2 linked regions of the Alligator mississippiensis genome follow. The protein of the gene in region 1 interacts with the protein of each later gene in a pairwise test. Links are inferred from orthologs where the notes say so. Each region holds a gene or a part of one and is shown in the gene's direction. Other genes may lie near its edges.

Region 1 (11,863 bases):
CTAAAACAAGGCAACCAACCAAAAAACAACCCAGACCCTGAGGTGGATGATGACTTTAACTCTGTAGGTAGCTGTGGGCTCTCCAGTATAACAGCTGCACACATTTTGGCCGTATCCTCCCAAGGATTGCAACCTTGATATGGTGGAGAGGCTTATGTGCTACCAAGAACCTTGAGAGTGATGCTGTCTGCAGTTTTGGACCATAGTGGAAAGGTCAAGAGCAAGATTTTCAGGCTAATAGCAATCCAAAAGTAAAAATCCTCAATGATGGAGCAGGCAGATAAAGAAAAAATACATCACAAAAACGCAAAGGCAAATGAAGGTTGCAGCGGAATAAAAATCTCTGGTTGTGTAGGTGTTCCTTGCCCTCAGATTAAGGGTTCCTTCCTGTGAAGTATTTTGTAGCTGCTGGTGCACAAGGACACCCCCCACAATAAAAGAAGATATGGGCAGGTGCTAGTGATTACTGGGTAGGCTAGTGATAGTTCTATGGAGATGGGCAAATGGTGACAGCAACAGGTGCTAATGATTATGAGAAGCCCCTAGTCATGAACCTACACAGAGGTGATGGCATGATGGCTGTTTTACTTGGAACTGTTTTACTTGGAACTTGGTGTTTAATTTGGCAGGTGCAATCATGATTGAGCAGGCCTATTTAAGATCCATTCTGCTCAACCCATATGGGGAAAGGTTTAGAAAGGTGCTTTAAATGTAGTCTATCTCACTTCACCTGACTGGAAAACTGCATCCAGTGAGATGGCTATCTTCAGTTCAAATCAAGTAATGAAGTTTCCAACTTGGAATGTCCACAGTGCCTGAACTACCCTAACAGTGACTGACCTGAGTAAAAGACAGCATATGTAGCAGAGTACTTGCATAATTTGATATTGACATTCATGGTGTTGGTTTTACTACCAAGAATAAGACTGTCACTCAGATGCCAGAATGCCCAGTCAGCTTCATGACCTTTTGTCTTCAGCTGACCAACAGACTACATGTAACAGTCATCAGTGCGTGAGCCCAACCGTTGATGCAAATGATGAAACAAAGAAGAGTTTGATTATAAACCTGATCAAATCTTATTATCTGTCCCTGAAGATAATTCTTCATGATGGTTTCAATGGTAGTGTGGGCAGGTATTCTGGGCTATGGAAAGGAACATTTGGAAAGAAAGGGAAAGTCCATTCCAATAGAATTCTTCTCCTGAGCAAGTTTTTAAAACATGATTTCATAATCACAAACTCATTCCACCAAAGCAACAAATGGAAGGAACATGGGTGCAGCCCTGCACAAAACACTGGCACTTGATTGCCCAAGATAGTGTTTTCCCAGATCCTTTGTAATATCTGTATCACCAAGAGCTATGACTAGCACAGATGACAGATCATTGTTTGATACGTTCTTTCATGTCCGTTTGTATTGCCCCAAAATGACAAACAAAAGAAGCAAGGAAGAGGTTCAATATTGAGTGCTTAAAAAATCCTGATAAAAGTGATCACTTCCAGCAGTGCCACAATGAGAAACTCTTTGACCTCCCTGATAATCTTGATCATGCTGATCACTAGAAAAGCCTGGAGAAAGGCATCCTTGAGGCAGTTAGGCTTCTCCATATCATGTCTGGCCAAGTCTAGGGGTTTCTTGGGGTAGAGGGGACAATGAGGGTTGGTAGGAGGGAGCAGAATCCAGGTGTAAGGCTCCTATGCTGCAGCCTGGGTCAGCTCTGTAAGGCTTAAGCAGTCTTTTGCCCTGCAGCCCTTGTTAAGTGCACTGACTCAGTTGCTACCAATCATGGCCAACTAACCCCCAGCCCCTTCCCTCTGGTTCTGGAACTGCATTAAGGAACTCCCCCAGAACCTGAACCTTGCTGCGTAACACACTGCTCTTCACTCAGTGCAGCTCCTGTCCCAGTAATTTCTCTGGCTTACCTGGTTCCTGACTCTGCCTTTGGATTCTCCCTGCAGACATGTTTCCTGATTTCTGACCCCAGCATGGCTTACTTTTGGACTTTGCCCTGTGTATTATCCTTCACACTTGATAACTAGGTTTCTGATTCCCAGCTCCTGATCCTGGCTTAGCATTTTGAATCCTGACTTGTGGCTCCTGACCCTTACCCTGGAGCCCCTGCTCCATGCCTGGTTCTACCTACTAGGCATGCTGGCCTGGTGGACTGTGACAGCAGGTATGAAGAAGTCAGGAAGCCAGGTCAGTCAAGCCAAGTCAGGAAGCCAGAGGGTCAGGTAGAGCATAGAGTCAGTGGGTAAACCAGGTTAAGTAGCCAGGAGAACAGGCAAAGAGCTGGGAAAAGCTAAAGGGTCAGGCAGAGCATAGAGTCAGAGAGCGAGCCAGGTTAGGTAACCAAGAGATCAAGTGGAGAGCAGGTAGATGCACAAGCCATAAAGAACAGCAAGGTAATTTTAGTCAGAGTTGAGCTCTGTTGCCCAGATGCTGCCTTTTTGGGGTCAGGGGAGGAGAATGATGGGTTAGCTGAACCTGGCTAGCCATTCTAGGGAGTGGGTTGAAGGTTAGATCCAAATGGAGGTTTCTGGCTAACTTGCTCTGCTTGTATGGTCAAGTGGGGAGGAGGCAGACTGGGATGAGTGGCCATTCTGGGAAGAGTGAGACTCCAGGTTTGAGGCCACAGCCTAACACTGCAGAAAGAAGCATCAGGACTGATTTGGTGAGAATGACAAGAAAACTTAAACTCTCATTGACAGAGAAAGGGGAGCCCTCAAAGCTTGGCAGAATGATATTAACTCCAAGCAGAAGCAAGACACTTATTGTCACATTAAAGCCAAGACCCAAAGGAAAATTTAAGAGCAAAAGAACCAGTGGTGAGAGGACAAAACAAAAGAGATTTGAAAGCTTGCTGACAGCTTCAACAGGCAGAGTTTCTTCAGCACAAACAAAACTGTCTATGAGCCAAACACACAAGGAGCCATTGCTCTGAGATCCAAGGATGGAACAATACTCTTTAAAGACAGCTCCACCATCAATGCATAGGACAAGTACTTTCAAGAGCTCCTGAATCAAGATTCTAATGTTGGAGGCAATGCAATCAAAGCCATTCCATAACACCCCATTAAGCTGACCTTGCAGACCCACCAACTTTCAAGAGGCCTTGAAAGCCATTAAGCATATGAAGAACAACAATGGAATACCAGCTGAAATTTATAAGCAATGTGGAAAAAAAGCTTTCTCATCCACTATATACAGTTCTCATGAAAATCTGGAAATGTGAACAGATTCCTAATAACTTGATGCCAGAATCTTTACCATATTCAAGAAATAAGATATATCACAGTGCAGCAGTTACCATGGTATTGCACTCTTGTCCTTAGCTGGGACAATCCTCACCCACATTCTTCTCAGTAGACTCAGTTCCCTCACTGGAGAGATTTTACCCAAGTCCCAACATAGTTTCAGACCACTCAGAGTTAGTCGATATGATCTTTGTTGCTAGATAGTTGCAGAAGTGCAGCAAGCAATGCTAAGATCTTTACATGGCCTTCATTGTCCTTGAATCTCTTCAGGTCACCTTAAAGGCCCATCTGAAGAAATGTGATACTAACATTAATACCTCAGAGACTCAAGCATTGAGTTATCCCTAGTGGTGCTGTGATGTACATCAAGGCATGAGCCATTTTGAGCAAACTCACCTCTCTCTGGAGGTGGATAGATGAGAGACAAAGGGAAGACCTGTGACTTGACATCACTAGCTACTGCTCTTTCCTCCCAGAACTATTTGCCATGTCTGTAGCTGAACATGCAGATCTTGGACTGTCCTCAATTGTCTATGGACTCACTGATGGAAGACTGTCACCATCATATTGAGGGACTGCTGATGACACTGGTGATGATCCTTGGCATGCCTGTACAATGCTCATTACTCCTAAAGGCAGCTGTCAAAGGTATACCAACTTCACACAATTTGTGATATCCTCTGCACAAAGAACAGACTAGGTGAAAAGGATTCTGGCTTGCCTATAGAGGGAAGTTGTTGTATCAGTGTGAGCGTGAATTTAAAGTATTATGCTCCCCGATGGACACTTTTATTCCTGTTTGGCTTACAGGCAGTCCTCGAGTTACATTTCGAGTTACGTTTTGCACTTACATTTATAAATTGACACTGTTTCAACTTTACGATGTCAGTTTCAACTTTACAACGCATGATCCGATGCAACGCCATGCCAGTGAACAAGTTTGCTGCGTTGCTCATCTCCCTGGAGAACATCTGTCCCAACTTCCTTGGACACTTTCTTTAAGAAAGCAGACAAGACTCCAGAAAAACCTGCAACCAAGACTCCTGAGAAGACTACAGCTGAGAGCCTTTCAAAAAGCCCAGCAAAGTCACCTCAAATAAGTCCTTCCAAATCAATATGATTGCTATTTACAATAGAAATACATTAATGTAGCTATATTACTCATCTATAATTGATCGAGTAAAAAATTCTGGAGTATTTTTGGTGAAAATAGGGTATCGGGCCTTGGCTCAGGAACCAGTCTCCCATTTATATTTCTTATGAGAAAACTGGTTCTGAGTTACAACGTTTCGACTTAAGATGCAATTTTCAGAAACCAATTGTGTTGTAAGTCCGAGGACTGCCTGTATATCGTTTCGGAAGTAGTTGAATATAACAATTTACTGGGAGCATCTGCATGGTAATTAATGTGTCTTTACTACTGTGCATCAAGTTTAGTACCTCTGAGGTACTACATAAAGGGTGCATCTACACATTCATTAATGTGCAGTAGTTACTGTACATTTAATTTCGTACTTGTATAATCACGTACTAAATAAGTGCGCAGTAACTGGAGTTACTGCGTGGTAGTGTCAGTGAATGTGCAATAGCTTACTAATACTATGCAGTAGTGTATTAGAACTGTTTGTGATGTGACGTGCTACTGTACAGTATTATTAGGCTACTGCGCAGTTAACATACCTTGGCTATGCACCCAAAGGTGCATTAACCCATGCTAATGTGCAGTAGCAAAGGCAAATGGTTGTTTTTTTATATGCTTAATGTGCAGTAGACATTCTACTGCACATTAGCACATCTTTTCCTTATGTGCAGAACAGTCCACTGTGCATTAAGGCATGTTGTGTAGATGCACTCATTGAGAGGTAATTGCGACTAGGGATGCTACCTACTATAAGATGTTGGAAACTGAACAAATAGTACACTTAATCCTATGCTCCTGCTCTTCAGTAGATGCAAAATGGTCAAGAGTGCAGATGCCCACGGGCCACTTCTGGCTATTTTCACTGTTAGGATATTTATTTTCATTTATTAAGGATTCTTGCTAAATGCCATGCTCCCAAAGATGACATAACAGACATAAATACATTTGAACAAAGTAACCAAACTACAAATATTATAACAGAGTAAACAAAGTCTCTGAGCTAGCTTCAGCCCTGTGTTGCACCACCTTGACACAGCATCTACTCAGAGGCAGGGCTGTGCTTGTGAACCAGACGGTTCAATGCTCTCTTACTAGAAGTGCCCACTGCTTCCCTGTAGCTGTTGCTGTGGGTGGGGAGAAATCCTGGCCAGGGCAATCACTGGCTCCCAAAACAGAAAGAGAGGGGTTGGTTTCTGTGGAAGTCCTGCTGGGACTGAAAGCTGGTTTCCCTCACAGTGGCTCCCAGAGAGCTCAGTGAAAAGCCTGTTTTCCGGCCAGAGACTGAGTCCTCTGGGGCACAGCAGCCCTGCTAGAAGTGTACAGCAGTGTTGAAATGACTGCACAGATTTTTTCTTCCGGAAAAAAAAAATAAATATATATATATATAGATCAAGTAAAAGCTTTTCTTCACACACCTTAAGCCACATTGAAAGCCTGCAGCCGTTACAATAAATGCACCTGCAGACCCGCACTCCCATTCAGTCCTTTCCCTAACCCAAGCGCAGTCTTAGTCCTAATCCTGCTGTTGGGGTTTATTCTCAGTTCCTCTCCTGTCGGTGTTGCTGTCACTGTCGCTCCTGCTTCCGCTGTCATCGTCCCTCAGATCGGCTTGCCGCTCACCTTGCAGCAGTTTCATTTTCCGCTCCACCCTCCGCCCCACAATGCCCCACCTCGCAGCGCCTGAGAGCTGGGGTCAGGGGAATCACAGAAGAAAGGTGGGGGTGGGTTGGCTGTCCGGCTCTCAACCCTCGCGGGCGGGGTGCCTGCCGGCAGCTTTCATTGCTGTTGGACTCGCCTGGAGCGGGTCCTTGCGGCCAGCCTGTGGGCTGTTGCCCCAGCAAGAGCGCCGGCTCGCGGCCCCCGGGCTGTGCAGTGCAAGCAGGATCCCTGCGGCCGCACGCTGGGGCGCGGGGACGTGGTGGGGGAGGGCCTCGGAGCGGGACACCCGGCCTCGGTTGGGGCTGGGGCGCGAACGGGACGCCCCGCCCCTCTCTTCCCACACGCGGGAAGCGCGGCTCCCGCCTGCACCGAATTTAAACTGCGTGACTCTGCCTCGCGCAAAGCACTGCTGCTGGTGGAACCCGCGCGCCGCTCCCCTTCCCAGCCCCGCAGCCAATCTCCGCGCGGCTTCGTTCATGCCCCGGCCAATCCGGACGCGCTTTATTGCGGGTCGGGGGAAGCGCTTCGGTTGCGCGCGCCGCGGAGCCGGGGCCGTTGGCGCGGGGCTGAGGCGAGTTCCACCCCCTGCCCCCACCCTCCTCCTCCTCCTCCTCCTCCTCCTCCTCCTCCTCGCGGCCCCTGCCCCGCCTCCTCCTCCCCTTTGTTGGCGCCTCTCCGGCCGGGCGGGCGAGCGGCGCCAGCCATGCCCGAGTTCCTGGCCGACCCGTCGGTGCTGACCAAGGAGAAGCTGAAGAGCGAGCTGCTGGCCAACAATGTGAGCCTGCCGGGCGGCGAGCAGCGCAAGGACGTCTACGTGCAGCTCTACCTGCAGCACCTCACGGCGCGCAACGCGCCCGCGCCCGGCCCCGGCCCGCCCGACTTCTCCAGCGACGAGGAGCGCGAACCCACCCCGCTCGGCACCCGCGGCAGGGGGGGCGGCGCCGCCGCTGGCCGGGTAAGAGCTCCCTCTCGCTCGCCGAGCCGGCAGGTGGCCGCGGTGTAACCCGAGCGCGGGCGGCCGCGCTTTCCCGCCCGAATGGGGCCGCCCCGCCCCTCCCCCACCCCCGCTGCGCCTGGCTCCCGGCGCGGCCTCCCACGTGCGGCCCCGCCTCCGCGGCCTGCCCAGCCCGGGCACCCGTCTGCCCGGGTGGGGGATCACGGGTGCCGGCTGCTCCCAGCAAGCGCCCGCCGCGGCGGTACACCGCTGTGCCGAGCTGCCCGTGGCAGGAATAGAAAAGTTGATGAAAGAGAACTTCCTCGCGGGCCGTTGCAGGGGACTGTAAAAGGGACAGGGAGGAAGAGGAGGGTTGGCTGTGCAGCGGCTGGTCCTGTGGGGGTCTAGGCTACCTCTGCTTAGTTTGAGGAAGGAGTCCTGCTGAGCCTTTCTGGCCAGGGAGCACCTGGTCCTTGTGGGACTTACCTGCTTCTTTCTGAGTTCCCTTCTCCATGGTGAGCTGCTCTTTGGTGCAGCCATCCGGCTGTTTCAGATTGGTTCTCATATGCAGGTATCTGCTAGCTTCCTCGTAAAAGAGGGGAAATTCTTTGATTTATCTTAAATGGAGGAAGCTCTTTAAAAAGGTTAAATCTAAAACAGCAGGTTGCAGTCTGTGGTACAGGCACCACCAGTGGTACGCAGACAACCTGTCAATGGCACATGTTAACAGCTGTATTATAATTACTTTATCAGACAAAAATTTGCTGGTGGTATTTAAGGTTGAACTAAAAAAATGTTGATGGTACTTAATGTTATATAATTTTAAGTTGATGGGGCACAATCTGTCAGAGTTTGGGAGCGCTGATCTAAAGTGTAACCAGGTCTGTTATGGTATATACTCTGTGAAGACTTATAACAATTCATTGCTACATTGTTGCAGTTTGTAATACAATCTATTCCAGGCTTGTCCAACATATGGCCTGCCAAGCCATTTTCTGAGGCCCACAGTGCTGCGACGGGAATGAAACACTCTACTTTCATTCCTACCCCTTGTCCCTCCTAGCCTCTCAGCAGGTTCCTAGTGGCTGCTGAAGGGCTGGGGAAGGGACAAGGTTAGGCTTTACCTTGCCAACATGGTGCGGGCTCGTCCCCTCCCCCCACATTTCACGGTGTCCCTTCCTTGCCCCTCCCTTCCTCATTTGCATGCCAGCTCCTCCCCTTTCCCATATTGCAGGGTTTCCTTCCCTAGCTCTGCCCCTCCCTTCCTCATTTGCATGCCGGCCCCACCCTGTGCTGGTCCCTGCCGGGCCGTATGGGCTGGAGCAGGTCGCGGTGCGGCGGGTTCGGGGTGCGGATGCCGGCTCGGAGGGATGCTGCAGCTGGGCCTGCGAGATGCTGCTGCTGTGGCTGTCAGGGCAGGAAGCCAGCGCCGCTCGCGCCTCCCCCGTGCCTGCAGACATTGTGCTGGGGGTGGTGAGTCGCGGGCCCCATGGAGGGAGGGACCCCTGCTGCTTGGGCTTGAGCTTGGGCTGCCCTGGGGGAGAGGGAGCAGGGGAGTGTCCCTGCACATCCCGCACCCCCCTGTAGAGTCCCTACATGTCCCCCTGGCTGCTGAGCCCAGGCGCACAGGTGTGGGAGCATCCTTGAGGCCGTCCAGGTGGCAGGGAGGACACGGCGGGATCAGGCGGCACCCCTTGACCCCTGCGCCCCCAGGCCGTGGCCGGACTGGACAGGCCACGCGAACGCCTGCTTCTGCTGGCCCGCTGGGTGATTAAGAAGTTCATGATCTGGCCCCACATTCAAAAAGGTTGGACACCCCTGATCTATTCAGACCTGTTTGAGGCAAGAGGTCTGAAAGAGAGGGTGTTTCTCCTCTGTTAGGCTGGTTAACTGAGGTTTTTTTTTAATATGCCCAATTCAAATCTAAGTAGTATTGGTAGATAGTTACAGAGGCAGCCTAATATACTGTGTCTTTCAATTATGCAGGGGAGTTGTTCATGTACATCTTGTGACAGCTTTAAAGAAAGCCTCCAATAATGGGGAATACCAGGTACCACATGCTTCACATGTCTAGAATCCAAAAAAGTAGGAAAACTCTCCTAATTTGGCAAGATTTGAGAGCTTGTTTTATACTAAACACCCTTTGCCAGGTAACAATGCTTTCTTGTCAAGCTTGCAAGGTTGTATGTTCAACTTGAGATGACAACTTTACAACTCTTGATAAGTTTCCAACTCTACCTGCAAAACTGTTCAGAACAGTTATAGTTTCAAGCAGCTCTGAAATTGTGTTAGTCTCAAGTAAAATTGGGTAGGATTATGCTACCTACCAGCTGTCTCAGGAGTGCATAACATGGTTGTTGGGCTTCATACAGACTGCCAGGCAGTCCAAGTGACTTGCCATAATCTTTTGCTTGTCAAAATCCTTTTTCTATTTGATAAAAAAAAAAAAAGTGAGCCCTGCATTTTTTCTGTGTTTGGTCTATTGTATTCCCGCTTACAAATGAGTTGGGGGCTTGCATCTGACCGAAGTAGATACCACTAGTGACAGCCTTTCAGTGGAAACTGCACCTGCAAGCTGTCCTCAGAGCTAGGTCACAGGGATGCAACTCATTTCTTTTCTGCCTAGTCATTAGTAACTAATATGTTGACAACCATGAATGACTACCAGGCAAGTAACAACTGAGAATTAATTTAAAAAAATTTTTGAAACTTTAAAGCATTCATTGCATCTGTCATCTTCTGTTATTACATTTTCTTAATTTAGGATCTATTTTGATATAACTTATTCTTTGTATCCAGAGTTTCAAAATATGGATGTATGTGATCTCTGATCTAAAGATTTTAAGCAATTTTGGACACGATATAATGTAGGTTCAGCAAGCCAATAGAGCTGGTAGAATGGGTAAGAATAATGACTCATTAAGCTCTACTATATATTGTGGTAGAGGGTTTCCCCCTTCCCTTTTTTTTTAGTAAGACAAGCTGTTAAGCCAAGCCAACCTCCTGATTTTGTTTTTGTTTGTTTTTTTTATGTAAGGTATTCATTTTATCTGCTATTCTGGTATGGGGTGCCTGGTGATAGGTAGGAACAGAGTGTACAACCCTTTGTAGGGGAGAAGGAGGAATGGTTTTTTGAGGTTTACCAAAATAACCAACTGGAACAGGCGGGGGAACAGAGAACATTCTTTAGCTAATCAGTTTGCTTGCCGTTAATAAGCAAAATATGCAAGGAGAACAGATCAGTCTGATTTCTTCCTAAATTTAGAGGATGTATCCCAAGAGATTATGAATAAATAGTATCCTTAACTTGCACAGAAGAATGTGAATGTTCTCTGCACCTACTGATTTAGAGGGGGATATGCAATGCACTGTTTTGTGCTTGTTTTTGTTTATTATTGAAAATCAGGATATTGGTTTAGATATAAGAGTAAGAATGAGGAGATGCTTTGCTTGGATGACTTACTCTCTCTCTCAGGTTTATTTTAAGGCAAGTCAGCTTGAACCCTTTGAGAGTCTTTGCTATGGTTATGTCACTTCTGTGCCATATAGGCTAGTATAAAGATACCCAAAACTACCTGCCTGCTCTCTGAGGACAAGAATGCCCTGGATCTTTTTTAAATTAAAGATCTGAGATCTTTGTCTCCAGTTGACTGTCCACAGGATAAGTTCGGTGTTCTATCTTTTGTTTCTTCTTTCTTTTTACCCATGAATCCTTCTTGTTATAACAGGAAAAATGTATTGCCCATTCAAAGGAAACAAGGCTCCTCCCCTCCCCCCCTTTTTTTTTTTTTACAGCACATGAAGATAAAACAAATTTGGCTGATATGTCTTTAATCGCCAGGTATACTATGGATAGAGGTGCTGTGGAACAGGGGGGAAAGGGAAAGTGTTGGTAATATGTTTATGGTTCCAGAACCTGCAGCCTAACTCCCTTAAAACAGCATATTCACAATGTTCAGCATCCATTTGAAAGCTGGACTTCAAAACGTTTGTTTTTTTTTCTGGTATTAGTCACCTGACCTGAGTGCTATAGCCAGATGTGGTACACTTTTTGCCAGATCTTTCTGTTGCTTTAGGGAATCTGCTTGTAAGAGAAAACTAGCTACCAAGTTCTGTCAGATGTGCGTTTCAACTTTTTTTTTTACTTGAACCCTTTTTAACTAAATGTTAGGTGTCATAATAAGAGATTAGTACATGGAGTGTATCTTTATTTGAAGGTGTTTCTAATGTTTACATATGCTTTTTAATTTAAAGCAGCATCTACCTTTTTCTTTTGCAATACTGTTTGGTATTGGGTTTTGTTTCCAAGAAAACATTGTTATGGTTGGACATCTTCCTTACATCAGCCTTGTAAAAATTCTGCTTGTTTAATGGTGGCTAGGGTAGGCATTGTGCCTGGACTGGTAAATGGCTGTGATTCTTTGACAAGCCTTCCACATGTTGTAGCACTTCATTGATCAAGCTCGTAACTTAATGCTTTGTATGAAATAACTAAGCCCTTTCTTAGCCCTGGGTTCAAGCCTATTTTCCTTTGCTTTTAAGCTTTGATACGCATTTATACGTTTTTGTCTGAGTTTAATCACTTGAGTTGAGTTGAACGCTTTCTGACTAGCTGAGTATTGAACTGAAAGGCAGGCATAAAACTCTTGTCTTGGGGACCTGGTATTTACTGTCTTAAATTATGAAACACTCCACGTCGTTTCCCCCCTCCTCACCATAGAGCTAGCTGCCTCGCACTGCCTGGCTGCCACATGCATGTGTGCATGTGGTGACCTTTGTCTGATCACCCTCCTCCTGTTCCCTGCAGTCCCTTGCAGGCTGGAAGTCTGACAGCCTGCAAGGGGAAACTGGCTGTTTCCTGCAATTTTT
Region 2 (12,079 bases), on another chromosome or scaffold:
AAAAGTAACACATTTATTTTTTCTTGGAACCAAATGCAAATCCCAGACAGCTGGTTTTGTACTCTCTGGGCAGGATAGTCCACTTTTCAATCAGACTAAACCTTCTGTGCTAGCTTCCAACTTTGAATGAATTTACTATGTAGCCCTATGTAGAGCACATTATATCAGCTCTGTGCTGGAGATGAGAGGTGTGCAGACCTGATTTGTATGGTGCTGGTGAACTTCAAGAATGACTCAACTGAAGTTAATCTAAGTCTGGTTTGGGCTCTTCGTCTTTACAAAAAATTTGCTTGGTGTGCCACATCTTCCAAGTTTTTCTTAGTTTGGGGACTTTCTAAAATTTAGGGTTATGTCTACACTAAGATGCTTCTACAGCCAGATGGCAGCTGCCAGAGCACGTTCATTATGGGCTTTTGGAAGCTCAACACATCTCTGGTCCAACAGTTGTACCACTGGAGCACAAAATCTATTTTGAGAAGGCACCAGCTGCTGAATGGACCATGGCAGCTGGGTGAAGATACAAGAGTTTTTAGATTCTCTTGCTTGCTGCTGGGAATCAGCGGAAGTCTTGCTCCACTCCGCAGAGGTGAAGTAATTCTTATGATGGAATGGAGGGTTCTGCTGCCACAGAGGGGCTTTGAATGTGCATGTACTTTGCTGGCAGAACGTTTGTAGTGTGGAGTGGACATAGAATGAAATTCAGGTCTGGATCTGAAAGTAAAATCCCACAAAGTTTAGGATTGAAAGTCCTAGTCCAATGTTAATTAAAACTTGCATCAAGAATTACCCCAGTTAATCCAATTTAGATGGGTTGTTAATCTGTATATGCAACAATCACGTATATACAGAAATTTCTGTCTCCCGTTCCACAAGCTATGCAAGTGCTTGCAGTCAGAGTCCCAAGAAATACCTGTATTGTTTTTACTGCATTGCTCATCTTTGTAACAGGGGGATATTAACACTTCTGTTTCAGAGCACCTACCAACCACTAGCTCGTTAGGGTTAGAAAGAATTGCCCCTATGGGCAGATCGTTCTGCAAATATCTATCATTGGGAGGTTTTGCACTTTCCTTTGAATTGCCTGATACATATGGGCCACCGTCTGAGACAGGAAGGTAGACTGGATAGACTCCAGTCCAAGCTGGAGTGACAATTCTGGGTTCTTAGATCTATCCTACGTGTAGAAGGGTGCCCTGCCAGGAAGATTCTGCCATGAATTACAAGAAGCATTCAGCTTGAACAATCTGTTTATAGCAATGAAAGGAAGCAACTTTGCAAAGAGTTTCAAGTTCAGCATGTTTCACCTATCTAAAAGAGCCCTTGTTTTACAGATAGTATGGGATCTGTTTGGCTTTAATCCCCCAAATGTGCATGGTGTTCTGTTCTGTTCCCTTAACTATGAGCGTTCGCATAGCAGATGCAGAACTAGTCTTTGGGACATAGTATCTAATTTGTTTTTTGCTCCTCATATTCACATTGTTATGATGATATTCTTGCCCCCCTTGTGACTATTTCTAAAGAACTTTTTTTCTATTGTCCTTTGTGGGGAGTTGCAGGGGCACGTCCTTCTCCAGTCCTCTTATCCAATCAGTGCACAAGATCCCAAATATTTAGGAATTTATGAGGAGTCCATTCAGGGAGTCTGCATCTCCACACAGCATGGTGTGGTCCTGTTCATCCTGAAAGGTGATTTGTCCACTCGAGAAACACATTTTTTAAAATAAAAGATTTGGTGAAGGCTCTATGCTGCAATTAAATCAATGGCTGCTGAATACATGAGACCCTTCTTGCAAACTGACGAGCTGTCATCAGATGGTTTAAATGAATGACTTGGTAACTGCTGACTGAGCTGGGTTGAATTTGAAACAAAATGTTCAGATATATCTTCACTTCCCAGAACCGTATAGTCCTTTGCTGAGAAGGGATTGGAGAAACTGAGAGAATCATTGAAGCACCTGGGCTGCCCCCAGCAGCCTTACCTTTGGTCCTGGGGACCTGTCAGGCCTGCAGCAGTGGCAATCTAGACATGAGGAGCCTGGTCAGTCAGGCTCTGGTTTCAGTCAGTACATGCTTGCCACTATGCATGTACGCTACTCTGCTTTTTTTCTTGTGAATCTTTTTTTGACACCAGGAGATCCCTGTGACAAAAAAAATCATCATGCTGCTAATTAGCAGCACAGCAAACACATGCATGTGCAGCGTGTACAGTTTGCAGTGCCACAAACCACATGTGCATGCTTGTCTGGACGCACCCTTACTGTCAATATTCCTTGTTATTCCAAGAGTTGCCTGCCTGTACTTCTCAGAGATACATAAAGTCCCTGGGCCAAGCCTTTATTATCAGTGAATGGATATTAAAGTCTGAGGTTGGAGGATCAATTTTGCTCACTGAATGAAAGAAGTAAGCTCTAATCAACTCTACATTTTATTGGTGTGGGTAGTGCTAGTGTGTGGATCTTGTGCATGTGTTTTGATGATTCAGGAAACAAAGGCTAGGAGATGAGGAATGAATGACAGAACCACTAATGATTTAGTACTGCTCAAGGAGATAATTCGTTTGACATGGCAGTCAGTCTCACTAAGGTACTTGTTACAGCCCATATAGAATATTGTGTATTACCAGGGAGTAGCGTGGACAGTTTTGCTCATGTATGGTACCCTAACCATGCATGCCATAGCTAGATTTTTCCTATGGAGAGTGGACCATCTAAGAAACTATAAAAGATATCATAGCTCAAGCATCCAAGTAGTAATTCATGTTTAAGGGACATTGTTTGGGAAAAGAAATTTTGCTGTGACAAAATATGAAATTCCATATTATGAAAGGAATTGTTAAAATTATTAGGGAACAAATTTTCCATGTTTTTCAAGGATTCAAAACCTAGAAGATACTTCCTAAAAACGAATAGGTAAGCCTGGGCTGAACTGTATCAAGTAAATAAGTAGGAACATCTGGATTAAATTACCTAGAAAAATTGAGAAGGGTTTGAATTTGAAACGTTACAAATGACAAAGCAGGAAGGAGGTATTGAGATAAGCACAACCCCCCCCCCCAAACAAACAAACAAACAAAAAAACAAAAACCAAAACGGTTAGAATGGAATTTTCAACATTCCTAAAATATATAATCTTGGCATGAATCCTCCAAATATTTGCTGGTACTGAGAAAGAAACAAGATGCTCATCATAAGTGCATTGCTTGGTACTGACAAGCATTTAATTGCTTTAACTGGTAAAAGGTAGATATATTTGAAACAGAACATGAATACAGATAAGGAGCAACTCCACTGAGGGACATGCAGTTAAGTTCTGGAGCTGGGCCAGCAGCAGTTGGTTTACAGTTTTCAGGCAGGCGCCAAAATTAAAAAACAGAACTGCATTTCAAATCCAAAGGAAGTGAAAGGGGAGGTTCCCACAGGCATATGGGCTGTTCCTGCTGTGGCTTTCAGCCCTGGGTTAACAGATGGTGCATGACCAAGTCTCTTGTTTAAAATGCCAAAGTACTCTGGGATTTGTAGTCCGTCTTTTCCTCCTCCCCTTTTGAAAAAAAAAATCCAAGTTCAAGCTAGCTGTTTATGGCTAGGAGTCAGACTGTATATTTAGAGCGGATTGGTTAGATTATTAAAAGTCAGCACTGAACTGGGAACAGTGTCTGTGGTCATGTTGCAACTATTATATATTAAGAAAGAATGTCACCATTCCAAAATGGTACTAAGTTCAAAATGATAGCACAAAGAAAAGAAAAAAAATGATGTGAGTAAAAAGTCAACTTTATTTAGAAGACTACATTATCTTATCATATCATGTATAATGCAAGCATAGAACTTGGGTTCAATTTCCCACTCTTTCAGACCTTGGGCAAGTCACTTAAAGCTAGATTTGCAAGACTTAAGACTTGCCAAACTAACAGTCTTCGTGCCTAATGTGTCAGTGTTCTACTACTTATTGTAATCCACAGATGTATTAGGCACTCAGGCTCTGTATATAATGCATGAAAGGGATTACATGCCTTTCTATGGGACTCACAAAAAGCTAGCAATGCTAAGAGGGCAAGGGCCACCTCAAATAGTCATTACAAATGCCAGACAGAGGGTTATCTTTTTTATAGCCATGTTGGTGTGAAAAGAAGGAATACAGATACACCTCTTGGTTCAGAGATAATACCTTTTATTAGACCAACCAGAAAATAGTAAAAAAAAATATTTTTTCCCAAGGTTTTGGACACACACACCCTTCTTCAGGCTGAGGGGAAATTAAAGATGGTAAAAGTCACCTTAGGTAGAAAATAAGCTTCGTTTTGCACAGAGAAGGCTGAAGGTGGATCTATGTTCCTCTGGGTCCATGAGAGTCCCTTAGTGTGAGTTTCTCTTGCATGTTCAGATAAGGCAGTTTCTCTTCCCTGGTGGTGTCAGATGGCAGAAATGTTGCTTTCTTGTTTAGCAATGAAGTTTGTAATTCCAAGAAATTACTAAAATTTGGTATCTTCCATGTTTCAGGGATCTGTGTTATAGCTGTGTTGGTCTGAGACAAGAAGGAATACAAAACTCTTGGTTCAGAGGTGTTATACCTTTTATTTTTTCAAAATAACAAAATAGCAAAAAAACAAAGGGCTGTGCATGAGAAATTGCTGCCTTTCAGTTTCTTAGGCATTTAACTTCAGACTGTGGGGAGGTAGGTGCTTATATCTGTTCAGGATTCACTTCATGGAATTGAGCACCAAACCCAGTCCTCTTGAAAATCATGGCTAGAGGGTTTGTACCTCCCTTTAAACAATAGCCAGTAGGCAGCACTCAGTCAATGTGGGGGATCCAGATGCACTTCTCTCCTCAGTATCCTAAAGTTTGTGTTCTTAGTTAGGTGTGGGGAAATCTGGATTCTGCTCCCTGAACCGGTTATGTATTTTCAATTAGACAGTTATCACATTTAGCACCTCCCCCAAAAAATCCTTAATGCCTGGGATCAGAAACCAAGTTTTCCTACCCCATTAAGTGCCTCAGTAACTGGATTACAGAATCATGGGGCACTTATACACATAGGTTGAGGCTGTTCTGGTGTGTTGCCATTACAGCGTGTCAGAGCAGGCTTACTTGAGTCTGCTGGAGCATGGTAATTACCATGCTCCAGCAGACTCCAGTGTCACGTGTATCAGCATCCCTGTGCTGAAAAATGGCAGCAGGCGTGCTTTAACTAAAGCTTGTTCGACAGTTTAATTACAGTGGCACTAAACTGTAACTTCTATCACTACACCCACCACCAGAGGTGGGTCCAGATCTGGCCTACAAGGAGCTACGTAGTCCAGATTCAGCCCAAGGAAGGTAGGTGAGTTTGATACCCATGCTATAATCTAGTGACCATATTTGCAGTGTCTAAATGGGACACACTCCTCCCCTGCTCTGTTTTCTAGCTCTGGTTTCAGCTGTGCATATTGAAGGAGGAAGAGTGGCGGTGGAGCATCAGAGTGTAGAGGGTTCACAGTGCTGGAGAACTGGGGAGAGGAGCTGAGGAAAGCAGTCCTATTTTAAATGAGCCCCTTGGGTGACCTGCTGAAAACAGCTGAAAAGATGAACTGTAGGCAGTGAGGAGGCTTCGTAATCTAATGAGTTTTGTGGCTGCTGGAGCAGCGTATTATGGACTACTTTCTGAGATTCAGGCAGAATTCTGGTACATCTCATTTAAGTGCACAGTTTACCAATCTGCATTTAAGGCTCAGGCATTTTTGGCTTGCCCAAAATCATACTGGGTACACGTGGCATGTAGCACCTCCAGGTTAGGCTAGCAACTCAGTGGGAGTTATGAAAATCCACGTTTTGGACTGAGCTCTTCTCTAAGAACCTCCCTTCTGCCAGCAGTTACGCTGCTGCCTCCTCTCCCGGGGATAGGGCTTGGGCTGCCGCTCGGACGGAGGTGCGCTTCGGGCTCTCCGCTGGCTGCTGCAGGTGCTTTTGTGCTCTGGCGCACAGCGCTAGAAGGATGTGGATATACATATGGTGGCTGCTGGCTGCCAGCAGAGCTTCTTGGTACGCATGGGGCCATGTAGACCCTCAAGATGTTGCGGCCTGGGCAACTGACCTGCTTGCTTGCCCGCCCCTAAAACCAGGCCTTTTCTGTTTAAATTACACAACAAAACACTCCTGCTGCTGCCCGCCCGAGGCCGTGGGGCTCTTTGGCTACAAGGCCTTTCAGGTGTGTCCCAACCCGCGAGGCCCTTCGCGCACTACGATGAACATCCCCCAGCCAAGGCCGGGGAGGTCCTGCACGTGCAGAGCTCAGTCCTCGTCCCCAGCGGGTGCCTGCAGCGACTACAGCCCCCAGCAGCCCCCGCGCTCCCGGCCGCGGGCCCGAGACTCCATTTCCCAGGGGGCGCCGGGCCGCGCTGCGCGGGACTGGGGGAGGCGGCCGCCATCTTACCGCTCCTCCCGCCCACTGTGCGGCTGGATTGAATGAACCCGCTGCTCGCTCGTCCCGTCCCGTCTCGTCTCGTCCGGCGGAGCGAGCGCCATGTCGGGCACCCCGCTGTCCCCGACCCGCATCTCCCGGCTGCAGGAGAAGGAGGACCTGCGGCAGCTCAATGACCGCCTGGCCGTCTACATTGACCGCGTGCGCTCGCTGGAGCTGGAGAACGACCGGCTGCTGCTGAAGATCTCGGAGAAGGAGGAGGTCACCACCCGCGAGGTGCGGCCGGGGGAGCGGGCCGGGCCGGGCCGTCGCAGCCGCACGTGTGTGGCCGGTGGGAAGGGCCGGGGCCGGGGCCGGGGCCCTCCGCGGGTCCTGAGGCGGCGGGGCCAAGCGAGAGCCTCCTCCGGGCCACGAGCTGGCGGGTCCCCGGGCGCCGGGGCCGAGGCGGCGGGCGGGCCGGGCCCGCCTCTGTCTTCTCAGACTTTGATGTGTCTCACGGCCGCGGCGAGTTGTCTTTGCTTTCTGTGTTGACGGCGCGGTAGAGTAGCTCCTGCAGGCTGTGTATTCGCGTAGTTTTCATCTGCTTTAGTCACGCTGCGGGCACATGGTGTGCAGAAGGAGAGGAAGCATGGTTTTAATACAGAAGGACTAACAGGGAGCGAGTGTCCTTTTGTTAAGCGAGAGCAAGTATTGCTCGAGTTGAATCTGATGCTTCTGCGTACGTAAATCTTCCCTGTAAGAAGCTGAGCATCTGCGGTAGTGTACGAATCGAGGTTAATTTGGATAAATGAGACTCCTGGACAAGGATTGTTTCACTGGCTGTTGCGGGTGTTTGGGACCCAAGCAGTTGTTTAAGCTGTGCTTGTGTTAGACTTGAAAAGCTACGGCCATTTGTATCTGAGGGTTTGTCCACCTAGGATAGGTCCTGTAAAAAAAAAAAAAAAAAAAAAAAAGAAACAACTCCTGCCCCCTGTCTGAATTTCTGAGCACTTGTGCAGTAGAAGTAGCTTCCTTTACGTTCAAAGTGAAGTGGAACTTTTGTAGCCAAAACGACCCAATTTGCCCGATTCTGAGATGGCTTCAAATTTAAAATGACCCACAATCATTAGATTGTGTACATGGAAAATTCTCTGCTGTGGCAGGGAAAGCAGCAGTGGGAGGAAAGAGGCTAGACTTGCACCTTGTTTCCCTAGTCCTTGTCCCCACTGGCCTGTGCCTGGCCCCAGCCTCTTGCTCCCTCTGTGCCTGTGCTGGCTCCCACCCTGCAGCCTACCCCCCACCCCTTGCCCCCTGTGCTTGCTCCCACCCCTCTTTACCTTCTGTGCTCAGCTCCTCCGGGGCAGTGAGCAGTAGTAGATGGCCTGGCCCAGTCTGGCCAGGGAGACGTGGCAGCAGTTCCTACCTGGGGTGGGTTGGGGCTAGAGGGATCAGGGTTGGAACAGAAGGCAAGAGGTATAGAAGGGGTAGCTGGGGTAGGGGGGCAGGCACAGGCATAGGGGGCAAAGGGTGGGTAAGTTGCAGATAGTTCCCCCTCCCTCTCTCCCAGTCTCTTCCCTACTTGCCACCGAACAAGTCATTTCAACCCTGGCACAGCTCTGAGCCCAGGGCCAAAGCCAGAGCTGAGCTGCTGTCTGCCCTGGGCTGGTCCTTGAATCCAAGATGAGATTTTTCCCATTCTGATTGGGGGCAAAAGACCTTACCTTGCTTTTGAGTAAATAATGGCATTTGCAGCTGATGCCAAGAGCAATTGCATAGCTGTATAGTCTGATAGATTTTTTTTTTCCTTTACGTTAAAGTTTAGTCAATAAGTTAAAGTTTAGTCATTAATGGAGTGAATTTTTGTAGATTAGGTATGCCCAGTGTTTTTTGCTTTACAACCTAAAGTATTTCTGTTTTACCTTTTTTCTGCTTAAATTCATGAATTTTAATGGTGTTCATCATCAATATGGAAATTTCTTAATGCCGTTCCATACGGTTGGGCATGTTTTAAGGGTCTTCTCCTCCTGAAGAACAGCAAATAATTATTTTGGGAATAATTTTAGATATTTCAAATTTAGCTGGTATCCTAGTGCAGTGCTATCCTGTAGTGGTCAAATTGTGGCTCATTGGGCTTCTTGGCATAGCTGGTAGAGCCACTGCATTGGTGTGGTTCCAGCACCCAGGGGGTGAGCATTGTTGCTTTTGCCCCTCTTCCTCCTTTTTCTTGTCTGCTACTGCATTTGGGGTCTTAGGTTGCTGTTGGGTGCCTGAAATCAGTGGCAGAGGAAAAGTGGGGTAAGTGTCTATGCTGGGTTTGTCTGGCCTGCAAGAAGTCCTGCTTCCAAATCAGTTGGGTTTTGGGGGCCAGTACCGATAGTCGATGTTTCAGGAGGCATATCGACTGATACTGATCTGATTTCTGATACAGCTGCCTCCGGCTGGTAAGTCTAGTGTGGTGGAAGGGGAGGGAAGGGGTGTGGGGGAGGCAGATCCAGATCGATGCCCTCCATGGTGAGGGAGGGGGCAGGGTCAGGCACTGCCCGGGGGGAGGGGGGAGCCATGCTGCCTGGGGATCTTTTCAGGAGGGCCTGGACTTGGAGCAAGTGCTGGGTGAATGCTGCATCGACCCCACTGCTTGGAGCAGAGCAGCGGCGAAATTCGGGGTGAATGCAGCATCCTCCCAGCACCACCAGCGTCCACTCTAAGCATAGCCCCTGTGGAGAAGAGCCCCACGCAGCCCTGGCTGCAGCCTACCCCAATACATGGACATGGACTTTGTGGTGGGTGGTATATAGACATGATAGGGAGAAAATGTTCTTTCTTAAAGAATGTATTGTCCAAGTTAAGTAGGTTTTGATTTAGAGGTGCACCGACATCGATCTATGTTGTACCGGCACTGATAAAAGGAAAATTGACATTTCATAGATTGCATAGACATTGGGGCTGGAAGGGACCTTGTAAGATCATCGGATCCAGCCCCCTGCCAAGGGGCAGGAAGTCAGCTAGGGTCAAAGGATCGCAGCAAGAGAAACATCCAAATGTTTCCTGGAAGTGTCTAGAGTAGGTGCTTGCACCACCTCTGGGGGGAGTTTGTTCCAGTCCTTGCAGGCTTGGACAATAAGGAAGTTTTTCTTATGTCCAGCCTAAAACAGTCTTGCAGGAGTTTGTGACCATTGGACCTTGTCATCCCCTGGGATGCTCAGGTGTTCCCCCAGATCCTGATGCACACCCCTTATGTACTTATAGGCTGCCACCAAGTCACCCCTGAGCCTGTTTCTCCAAGCTGAAGAGTCCCATAGCTGGCAGCCTCTCTTTGTAAGGCCTGTTGTCTTGCCCTCTGATCGTGCACATGGCTCTCCTCTGGTCTCTTTCAAGCTTCTCCACCTCCTTCCTAAATTTTGGAGCCCAGAATTGGATGCAGGACTCCAGCTGTGGCCTCACCAAGGCCAAGTACAGTAGGAGGATGACATCCTGGGTCTTGCTTGAGATGCATCGGTAGATGCAAGCCAGAGTTTTGTTCTCTTTGCCAGCTGCAGTATCACATTGGTAGCTCATGTTCATCTTGTGGTCAGTCATGACCCCCAAGTCTCTTTGGTCCTGGTGCTAGCAGGTGTAACACTGCCGAGCCTATAAGTGTGATGCAGGGTTTTTTTTTCCTGAGGTGGAGCACCTTGCATTTCTCTGTATTGAATGCCATCAGGTTTTCATCCACCCACCTTGCAAGCCTATCGAGGTTGGCTTGGTTCACCAGCCTATCCTCAAGTGTGGAAACTCTTCCCCAAATATGGTGTCATCAGTGAACTTTGCCAGTCCGCTTTTGACACCAGTATCGATTATCAGCCATTGGCTTTTTTTGGCTGATAATTTCATCAATAAATGCCATGTGCATGTGTGCAGCTGCAGCATGCACGCGGCCAGGAATGTACCTCAGCAGCTTGGAGAGCAGCGTCCAGCTCGTAAGTCTGGGGGGGGGGGGGGAAGGGAGGAGGAAAGGGATGTGGGGGGGCCAATTGAGGCCCTCACAGTGAGGGAGGGAGTGGAACAGGGTGGGCAGGCATGCAGGACAGAGTTGTAGGCGGCTTGTCTGGGGAGGGAGGACAGCTCCTGCTGCTGTGCACACCCCATGGGAGGCATAGGAGGCATGTGCCCCCTGGATTTGTGTGTGGGGTGAGCACTGCAGGCTCAGGGATGTAGGCTGTGCTGTCCTCTTCTTAGGCTGGGGCTGTGCTCAGGGTGTGCGGCAGCGGCCCTGGGAGAGGAGCTACAGGGGGGCTATGATGAATTTTGGCATGGCTGTAGCCCCTCCTCCAAGCACTGCCACTGCTCCCCCTCCCCCCCACTGGGAAGAGGCCGGCACAGCCCTGAGCCTGCAGCTGGCAGCCCACCCTTGCCCCACGCACAAATCTGGGGGGCACATGTGCCCCATGCCTTCCCCAGGATCTATGGAGCAGCAGGAGCCTCCTTGTTCCCCCTGGACGAGCTCCCCATGGCTCTGTCCCACGCTCTGCCTGGCTGGGCAGCGCCTGCCCCAGCCCCACTCCCTCCCTCCCAGTGGAGGCCTCAGTCTGTAGCCCCCTCCCCTCCCTCATGTCCCTTTCTCCCCTACAGAATTCCTGGCCCGATGCTGTTGTCCAAGCTGCCAGGCTGCATATCAGCAGTCGGATCAGTATTGGATAGTTAATAATTTGCCATTGGTAAAAATCTTTATTGGTGCACTGCTAATTTGACTTGGAAAAATACTTCCCTGATGGCTAGTTGTTGGTCCTGGAGGTGTTGACAGGAAAGCAGAGTATGCTATTTGGCTACTCTTTTTTTTTTTTTTTTTTTTTCCTGTTTTGATCCCTTAATAAGGAAATATCTGAGAGAGAGCAAGGGTTAATACAGCTCTCACTTAGTGTTGTGACAAATGTCACACTTGTCTGTATCCAGCTAAAAAACTTCTTGCTGCTCATTTTGGTGTGCATTAATTGTATTATTTGTCATTTTTATTTCTGATACTTTAAGTTCCGTCTGATTGCTTTCACTTGGCATGTATTTGTTTGATATCTTTTTGCTTCTCATCTGTTGCCTACATTCTCTAACTTATGGTGTGCATCCACTGCCATCTGTGTCCCTTTTCCATTGGTGATTCTTTAAAACTCTTTAAATGTCTCCTCTTGCCTATGATGGCCTCTTCTGCAGCTGAGGAATATTGCAGCTGTTATCATCAGTAAAAATGTTGGAAGGTTTTCTATTTACAGCCTGCAATGAATTAGAAGTTAATCTTCAGCCAAAGAAAAGTTATCACCAAACCATCCCATGTAATAAAAGTCATTTGCAATTTGTAGAAACTCAAGAATGTTTTATTACTTTTGAGGCCGCCAATAGTAAGTTCCTGCCTCCCGAGCTCTGAAGCACCCCATGATGTAGTTTTCTTTGTATATTTTAGTGAGATGCTTTAGGACCGTCTGGTCTTCAATAATCAGATGAGATCAATGTTAGAAGATTCTTATCCTCTGCTTTATCAATTATAACAAGGCTTCAAGGCCACATGTGGCCATGAAGGGTTAACTAGCTGTCTGCTCCTGCTGGGATTGCCCTCTTCCTTCAACCTCTGCCTTCAGCCCCTGCTGCTGTGGGTGGACCAGTGTGAGGAGCCAGTAGTGTGCCATGGCAGAGCAATGCAACCTACACAACGTAGGTTCGACCACTCAGAAATTGGACA

The links.
Region 2: the proteins of TMPO (region 1) and LMNB2 interact in a two-hybrid assay, tested with the Homo sapiens proteins (2 studies listed by BioGRID, with this or other methods). The link is inferred for Alligator mississippiensis from reciprocal best matches to the Homo sapiens genes TMPO and LMNB2.

The regions. Positions count from the first base shown.
Region 1 is NC_081827.1:93,736,223-93,748,085, reverse strand, and holds the start of TMPO (thymopoietin), read left to right. Parts: upstream 1-6,580; 5' UTR 6,581-6,763; coding exon 6,764-7,015; intron 7,016-7,485; exon of another isoform or gene 7,486-7,506; coding exon of another isoform or gene 7,507-7,509; intron 7,510-11,863. UniProt on the Homo sapiens protein: May help direct the assembly of the nuclear lamina and thereby help maintain the structural organization of the nuclear envelope. Possible receptor for attachment of lamin filaments to the inner nuclear membrane.
Region 2 is NC_081839.1:11,805,382-11,817,460, reverse strand, and holds the start of LMNB2 (lamin-B2), read left to right. Parts: upstream 1-6,414; 5' UTR 6,415-6,498; coding exon 6,499-6,672; intron 6,673-12,079. UniProt on the Homo sapiens protein: Lamins are intermediate filament proteins that assemble into a filamentous meshwork, and which constitute the major components of the nuclear lamina, a fibrous layer on the nucleoplasmic side of the inner nuclear membrane.